2 linked regions of the Danio rerio genome follow. The protein of the gene in region 1 binds, or shares a complex with, the protein of each later gene. Links are inferred from orthologs where the notes say so. Each region holds a gene or a part of one and is shown in the gene's direction. Other genes may lie near its edges.

Evidence for each region. The genes of interacting proteins can lie anywhere in the genome.
Region 2: coro2aa (region 1) and gps2 share a complex: the UniProt entries of both Homo sapiens proteins name them as parts of the N-Cor repressor complex. The link is inferred for Danio rerio from reciprocal best matches to the Homo sapiens genes CORO2A and GPS2.

Annotation. Positions count from the first base shown.
Region 1 is NC_133176.1:28,274,014-28,278,565, forward strand, and holds part of coro2aa (coronin-2A), read left to right. Parts: intron 1-337; coding exon 338-454; intron 455-2,487; coding exon 2,488-2,637; intron 2,638-4,552.
Region 2 is NC_133180.1:24,725,381-24,729,932, forward strand, and holds part of gps2 (G protein pathway suppressor 2), read left to right. Parts: intron 1-1,973; coding exon 1,974-2,050; intron 2,051-2,163; coding exon 2,164-2,259; intron 2,260-2,442; coding exon 2,443-2,526; intron 2,527-4,552. UniProt on the Homo sapiens protein: Key regulator of inflammation, lipid metabolism and mitochondrion homeostasis that acts by inhibiting the activity of the ubiquitin-conjugating enzyme UBE2N/Ubc13, thereby inhibiting 'Lys-63'-linked ubiquitination.

The DNA of each region.
Region 1 (4,552 bases):
AGCAAAAATGCATTCTGACACACCCTGAAAGCGTTTGCACCCTGCGTTTTGCGCTCTGCGCATGGACCATCAAAATAGAGCCCTAAGTCTTTGAACAGTGCTAAACATCATCTAGCATTCAGCCGCACACTTCAATACCATAAGCTATAATTGCAAAAAAAATAATGAAATAGTCAACAAAAGAAAACAACAGCAGGTTATCACTTTTACAGTTTAAATCCTTTTATCAGCATGGAAAGACTAACATGGTCATGTAGGAAATATCTTAAACCATAACCTCATGATTGTATTCAATGCAAATTTACAAAAATAATGGACCATTTTTGTGTCTTTACAGACTGGCAAGGTTGACCCTCATCATCCAAAGGTTTCTGGTCACAGAGGGAATGTACTTGACATCAAATGGAATCACTTTAATGACTTCTGCATAGCATCTTGTTCAGAGGACGCCACAGTAAGTGTAAACAAACTTCGACTCCAAAGATTTGATTCCTCCACTTTGAAGAGCCCTGGTGCACTTAACTCCAGCACTAGAATCGACGTCTGACATTTGTTCACTAATCATCTAATGTGTATGTAGTGCATAGCTGTTAAATGCAAATAATCAATGATAAACAACTGAAATGAAGCCAGGAATTCAAACAATTCAAACAGAGATTGAGCAAAACTTCTTTGTTCTACATGAAGGAAACTTTAGAAATAAACAACAGTCATGTTGACTACTTTGTAATTATGCACACCTCTATGATAGCTTTGCATTTTAACGTATGTTATTTTAATGTAACATAATATAGCATGCATCTGGTTTTCTATTATTTGAATTTAAATTCATTCATTCATTTTCCTTCGACTTAGTCCCTTTATTCTTCTGGGCTCACCACAGTGGAATGAACCACCAACTTATCAAGAATATGTTTTACACAGCGGATGCCCTTCCGGCTGCAACCCAGTACTGGGAAACATCCATACTTATACACACACATACATTATGGCCAGTTTGATTTATTTAATTCAACAAAACCACATGTCTTTGGACTGTGGGGTAAACTGGAACATCCGGAGGACACCCACGCGATCACAGGGGGAACATGCAAACTCCACACAGAAATGCCAACTGACCCATAAAATATATAATTTAAATGAAATACATCATTTAAAACACTTTATTTTAATGTACAATTTTCACTGTTAATAAACATTTAACTTTGGATTTGCCTCAATAAATTCTAATCGTAGCTATTAATAGTAATAAGTTTGTTAGGTTACGGTTGTGGAATAAATTCATGTAGGATATGTGCTTTATAAGTACTAATAGGGCGACGCGGTGGCGCATTAAGTAGTGCTGTCCCCTCACAGCAAGAGGGTTGCTGGTTTGAGCCTCGGCTGGGTCAGTTGACATTTCTGTGTGGAGTTTGCATGTTCTCCCCGTGTTCGAGTGGGTTTCCTTTGGGTGCTCCAGTTTCCCCCCTAAGCCCAAAGACATGCGGTACAGGTAAATTGGGTATGCTAAATTGTCCATAGTGTATTGTATGTGTCTGAATGAGAGTATATGGGTGTTTCCCAGTGATGGGTTTTATGTGCTCGATAAGTTGGCGGTTCATTCCACTGTGGCGACCCCAGATTAATAAAGGGACTAAGCCGAATAAATGAATAAATAAAATGAAAATAAATGAATGAATAAGTACTAATAAACAGCCGATACTTAGTAGTAGTCATGTGCCACCAGTTTTTGTACTTAAACTAAAGTGTTACCTAAATTTTTACATCCACTGCATGTTATTTTGAAAATCAAAGGTGTTTAAGAAGTTTTTAAGACTTAATCAAACCGAATATTGAGATGGAAAATGTAAATAAAGAATACCCAATTTTTCATGTATTTATTCTTCATGGATAATATTTGACTATAGCAGAAAAACACATGGGCAACATATAAATAACCAAGGCAATACAGTAGCTGTTTATCATTATCAGTTAATGCTACAGCAAAATTTGACTAATTTAACATTTATCCTAAAAGATGGTGTATTGCTTAAGAATGGGAGTGTTCTTAAAAGAGAAGCAATGCAATATTTGTACCTTTTTGATTAAGTTGCTAATTTATATAACTTTATGTGTACATTTTCGCACAATGTGCTCATCCCCAATGAGGGTTAGGTTTATTTTGTGGGACTTTTTAAACAATATTTAAAATAGTTATATTTCCTAGTGAGATTGGGCTGGTAAAAAAATGTAAAAATATATTAAATGTGCAATAATAACTTAAGTATTAGAGTATTATTACTGGTTTTGATGTAAAGTAAAAGGAGTCAAAGACTCAACTCATTAAAAACCTGGAATTGAACACATTGTGCATAGTTCTTTGCCTTTCAGACTTAAAACTTCTACATACAATCCAGTAGCTGAATTTAGATGGGTACCTTTGATATTCTGTAACTTTGTTCTCACATTTTTACAACTTTATGATGTGTGTGCATGTTTGCTGTTCAGGTGAAAATCTGGGAAATCCCTGAACATGGTGTTTTGAAGACCATCACAGTGCCTTGGAAAGAGCTGCAGGGTCATTCTCGACGTGTAGGCCTCATTGAGTGGCATCCCACTGCCAACAACATCATTTTCAGCACCGGCTATGACTATCAGGTACTTCAGCTATACTTACAATTAGTCGTGGAATGAAGGTAGACAAGATTTCAGTAAACTGGCCCTCTGGTAGACATTTCAAGTATTCACAGTGCTAACATCTCAGCGAACACCACCACAAGTTGTATCATGTATAACTCTGCTTGTTGTAAGCAATTTTGTAAGGTAGAAACTTTCCCTTCAGAGCTGAAATAGTTGTATTCAGGGCTTAAAATGAAAACTCTCCATTGCAAGTTTGTTTTAGCAGCTAAATGAAAGCTAAAACTAAGACTAAATCTATCGTTCAAAAACATATTTTTTTTAGCCAAAATAAATAAAATATTCACAATAAATGAACAGCTAAAACAAACAATAGTCACTGAAAAACATGAAATAACATTTAGCAAAAAAGTTAATTGTTTCATTCTGACATGTGGCTGTTTATAGACATACCTGTAGATGGCGCTTTTACAACCAAAAGACAAAGTCAAACTCATCAATACACAAACATCTCAGTAAATAGTACATGTGCCCTGTCTATTCTTCATCTGCCAAAATGTAAACTAGGCAAGCTTAACTAAATATGTGATCTTTAGCATGAAGAGGTTCATCATTTCTTTATAATACAAAGTTTGCTTTTATTTGATTATTTTAAGTGGCATTCGTATTTATGTATTGGTGTTTGGTTTAGTATTCATTATTTTATATTCATTACTAAGAGGTTTGCAGAAGAGATCATGTAAACTGTCCAAACATTAAACTTTGCTGGACATGTTCTTTTAACTGTTAATTTATTAATGTATTCTACAATTACAGAAACTAAATATATGAAAACTAAATAGAAATGTGTTTACAAAATAAAACCTAAACAAAAACTAACAAAACCACAACTAAACTGAAATTTATAGCAAACTTAAAAATAGAATCAAAATAAAGATCTAATTTAAAAATGTAAAAATAAATTAACCTTTGTTGCCATCGCCTGTAAGCACAAAATAGGAGAAAAAATTATGTTGACAAGTTTTTAAGTAATTCCTATGCAACGGTGATAATGCCGTAGGATTTAGTGTGATTATTATCAAATTACAAATAAGTCCTTGTAATGATATGAATATGTGACATGATGCACAATGCTGATCTTTGAGCAAAATAACAGAAAAATTTACTTTGTGTAGTTAAATGTTTGAAACACAAAACATCAATATATATCAATATTAGTTTTGTAAATTCATTGTGGTTTTAATATAATAATAAGATAATTTAATATAATAATTATAACAATAATTACATTTACAGATTATCCCGCATGTATTAGTATTATAATAAGGGTCTAAAATTCTAATACAGTTGAAGTCAGAATTATTAGCCCTCCTGAATTATTAGACCCCTTGTTTATTTTTTCCTTAATTTCTGTTTACGGAAAGTTAACATTTCTTTACATTTCTGTTTACATTTCTAATCATAATAGTTTTAATAACTCATCGCTAATAGCTGATTTATTTTAACTTTGCCTTGATGACAGTAAATAATATTTTACTAGATATATTTTTAAGACACTTATACAGCTTAAAGTGATATTTAAAAGCTTAACTAGGTTAATAAGGTTAACTAGGCAGGTTAGGGTAATTAGGCAAATCATTGCATAATAATGGTTTGTTCTGTAGTAGACTATCGAAAAAAAATATAGCTTAAAGGGGCTAATAATTTTGTCCCTAAAATGGATTTTAATAAATTAAAAGCTACTTTTATATTAGCCAAAATAAAACAATTAAGAATTTCTCTAGAAGAAAAAGTATTATCAGACATACTGTGAAAATTTGTTTTGCTCTGTCAAACATCATTTGGGAAATATTTAAAAAAGAAAAAAAATTCAAAGGGGGCCTAATAATTCTGACTTCAACTGCATACCATTAGAAGTTACCATTTTGTTAAATGT
Region 2 (4,552 bases), on another chromosome or scaffold:
GTGTGAACATAAACAACATCTCTGAATGAAATACACTGAAAGTTCAATGCAAAGGGGAGACATTGGCTTTTACAGAGTTAGCTTAGCAAAGCCTACAGCGAACAAAGTTTGAGGACTACAAAAAATACATCCAGGCTAGTGAGATCACAAACACTTCAGTTTACGCACCACTGCACTCTGCGCAGTGAAGGCACGTGGCCAAAGGCATTGTAATGTTATAGCAGAGAAAGCTAAAATGCCGTCCAAACACTGCTTTACCAGGCAGCTTGTTCTGTTCCTGTATTTGGGCTACTAAAGGACACGACACAAAGAGAGAAGTTCTTACAGTTTATTTTAATTATGTTCCAGAGAATTAAAAAAATATATAGCTAGCATTTGTGGGTTGCTTTGAATTGTTAGCCACAACCTGTAAGTGTTTTTATTTGTTAAAATTGATCAATTATATGCATTGTTTCAAGCGTTAAGGGTATGTTACAGCAAGAACGTAAACAAGGATGTAACAACAGGAAATGCTGTTTGGCATTATTAACTATTCAGCTACAAATTCATATTTTTCCATCAAACCGCTGTAAACACCCACAATTTTCAGCAGCGCTGCAGTGTCTTTCTATGCGGTGCTTTCCCTGCGTTCTACATCTGAATATGTGTGAAAGACACTTGTCAGATCTTACTTTAGAGAGCAGGTGTGAGGTTCAGCTGTCTTCTCTGTGTCATTTTCTGACTGATTCAGGCACAAACTGATGGACAGTATTTACACAGCTGAGGCAAAGTGCGTGCTTGTAGAGGTGTGACGCTTTTCCTGTTGACGTGGAGCCGATACACGAATCACAGCACATTATATTAGCTGACCAATCAGAGCCTCTTGAGGGCGGCCCTTTTGGAGGAGCTAGGAAATATGACAGTTGTTTTCATTTTAGCTGAGTAGCTGTATATAATCAAATTAAGATATATGAAAAAGTAACGTGATTTTCTACAAATGAAGCATGAGCACACATTGCTTTGCATTTTTATAAATGCATCCAAGCCTTAAAAATACACTCTGGACCACCTCTTTAATAGAGATATTGGAACTTTAACACAAACTGAATGCTAAACTGAGTGAGTATAGCCTAAAACAACAAACAAAAAGCAGCTCCAAAAATATCCATCATTTACAGCTTTTAAATCCTTTAACAAACTGCAATCAATGTTTCTATTGTTTATGTGGCAGTAATTCTGCAAATGGTGGCATGTGTGCCACAGGTTTATAAACCCTGCGCTACAGAATTCTTTTGAAATCAAATGTTTATTTAAATATTAGTTTGAAGTAAAATGATATTCAATGTTGCAGTTACAGCTTTAGGTACGTTACCTACACTAATGAAATGAAGCGTATGCAGATCACTTTAGAAATGAAAAATATGTCGTAAGACTAAAATAAAATTCTACACTCAGTTAAATTTTTTGACATTAATGTCAACATTTTAGCAGCAAGATTTAAATCATAATCTACAATCTTTATTTAGTTAGCAAGCTTATTGAAAGCAGTAAAACAAAAACTGGACCTACCCCCCAATTTAAAACATCTAAGGTCACTTTGGTTTGTTTTATGATTTTTTTTTTAAGTGTTAACCAGACCCTCCAGGATTTTGTGATTCCAAAATCTCTGCAAACCTAAAATCAAGCAAATGCCAAAGTTTTGAGAGTTTGAAGTTTGAGAATTCCAGCCATGCCAGAGCGTCATCTGCTTAGTCATTCAAAACAAACTAGGTCACGTGAGTTATATCACTCACTAAACTTTTACATATTATGTATATATGCATCCTGTTGTCATAGGAGTAGCCCTCCTCTCTCTCTCTCTCTTACACACACACAATGTTAAATGGGTGTAGGTGGGGAACTCAGTCAGTCTGTATTTTTAGGGGGTAATATTTCCTCTGTCAGTTTTTTGGCAGATAGCTACACAAACTCTTTTGTTTTCCATCTTTTTCTAGGCTACATCCCTAGCGCTGGGATTCCCCTTCAGAAACAGCTGGAACATGCTAACCAGCAGTCCGGCTTCACAGACTCTGTAAGTGGAGATGGTCAGGAAGTGCATTTCTTTCAAACTACGTCAACTCAGTGGAGGGATTCAGCTGTGTTTGTGTAATTAAATTAAAGCATGATTCCCATTGATGTTTTCAGAGTCCCCTGAGGCCCATGCACCCACAGGCTCTTCATGTCAGCGCTGCGAGTTTGCTGTCCACTCCTCCTATTGCTGTGCAGATTCCTCCTGGCAAGGTCAGAGCCACAACCACCGCATGAAATCTGTATTGCCACAGTCTTGATTTTGCAGCATTGGAGATATTAGGCTTTGCTGTACTATAATTGTTTTAATGTAAAGATGATTAAAATGGATGCTTTGTATTGCTTTTGTGGCCTGTTCAACATTTAAAAAAACCTTTGCTCTGTTCTTTTTTATAGTCTGGCATATCTTATACACATTCGCAAAGGCCAGCATCTCCAGGTGCATTTTCCCATGGAACGCCCTCACAGCAAGCACATGCAGTAAGTTTCTTTATACTATATCTTGTATTTATGTATATTTATACACTACTGTTTATAGAATAAGTGAGGTATTTTGATTCAGCAAGGTCACAGCAAATGGTTAAAGAAATAATTTATTACTATTTTAAAAAAAGGTTCCATTTTAAAACTTAAATGTAATGAATAAAACTATTCCTATTCTGTTTAAACAGAATTTTAAGTATGCATTACTCCAGTTCTTGTTGTTTTTTTATGTTTCGATATACATATACCTCTCTTTTATTTACTTTTTTTTTTACTTTGCCCATTGTCTCTACACCTTGAAAATATTACCAACCTCACAAGTTTGAATGATAGTATGTATGATATCTGACTGAGAAAGTCTAAATGTATAGTTTTTTTTTAATGAACCAATAATTGCTGGAAGAATTTAGTATTCCAGTGATGTACAGAGCTGTGCAAAAGTTTTAGGCCACTAGTATTTCCACAAAAAAGGTTTAAAATCTACCTGAAAAACTATGGGCAAATGTTTTAAATGCAAAGTTTTGTCATGCTTTAGTAATTAAGTTAATTGATAAAATGTACTTATGCATTATTTTTTGAAAGCATCCTCATTTTACAGTATTTTCACACACATGTACTGTTTGTGAAAATCTTAGAGCAACTTAGAGATCTTGCCAAAGTTCTTCTGAACTCAGTTTCTCTTAGTTTGTTCTGTTTCTCTGGAAGCCATTTAAGACAGACTGGATAATGATCAGATCAGATCTCTGTGTGGAGCACTGACTCTTAGCAGACTCCTTGTGTAGTCAATATTCTCCATGTGTAAATACAATTCATGAAAACAATAATATTTGGAAATGGAAATTGATTTTTCAAACTGACAAAAATATAGAAACAAATGACTTCTAGTATTTTTACAAAAAAAAAAAAAAAAAAGTTTAACGTCAGTTATTTCTATATTTTTGTCAGTTTGAAAAATCTATTTCCATTTCCAAGTGGAAATAATGCATATACTTGAGACAACCACATTTTAAAGGTGGACGCATTAATATATTTTAGTAAATTAACCAAATTAACATTTGGTATGACAAAACTTTGCATTTAAAACACTTGATACACTTGCCCATAGTTTTTCAGGTAGCTTTATATTTCAAACTGACATGCGACAGAAAAATAAAGAAATAACCAACTTTAAACCTTTTTTTTTTTTTTGGTGAAAATACTAGTGGCCTAACACTTTTGCACAGCACTGTATGTATGTATGTATAAAGAAAGTGCAGTGCTTCCCACACAAACTTTACTTGAGCGGCTGCCCAGGTATAACTAGTGACACATATTTTTTTTACTATTATTATGATCTTTTTATACGTTTTTTTTTTTTTTTTTTTGTATCTGCGCAACATAACCAAACATCTGCGATCAATTAAGTACTGGAAAATCTTCTTCACTTGCGTGAACTGTCAACACTCCCACAGACAGTCTCACGTGCTCTGCAGACCCATAAAGACGCACCTTTTTGGCACTTAAATTCGTCTAAATCTCCTAAAATGTCCAGGATTCATCTTTTGATTTGGCTTTTGAAAACTTGTATGCCTTTTTGCATTAACTTCTAACTTAAGCCTACTTTCGCTTGGCTTGTCGTGAGAGAAACATTAAATAATTTATTTTTAAAAGTCTAAGCGACTCAGAAAAACTTTCCTATAGACTCAAAGAGGATGAAATGACTGCTCTAATCTGGCTGCAAAATATATGAACACCTTTAGTAATGATTAATCAACACATTTGGTTAATCTACATATTTTAATCTTGTCATTTTGATTATTTTTAGAGTATTGTCTGTTTTTATTCCCTTTTCTGTCATTTATTTCTCATTTATTTTATGTTAATCTATTACATAGGCTATTCTATATACATATCTAAAATGCTTTGCCATTCAAGTTTACTTTGAACCTGAAAGAAGCAGACTTTACCCGCCAATGGGTGCACATGGCTCCTGAATAGCATAAATGTAGGAGAAATGGTGAATTTCTTTTTTATTCCAACAGTC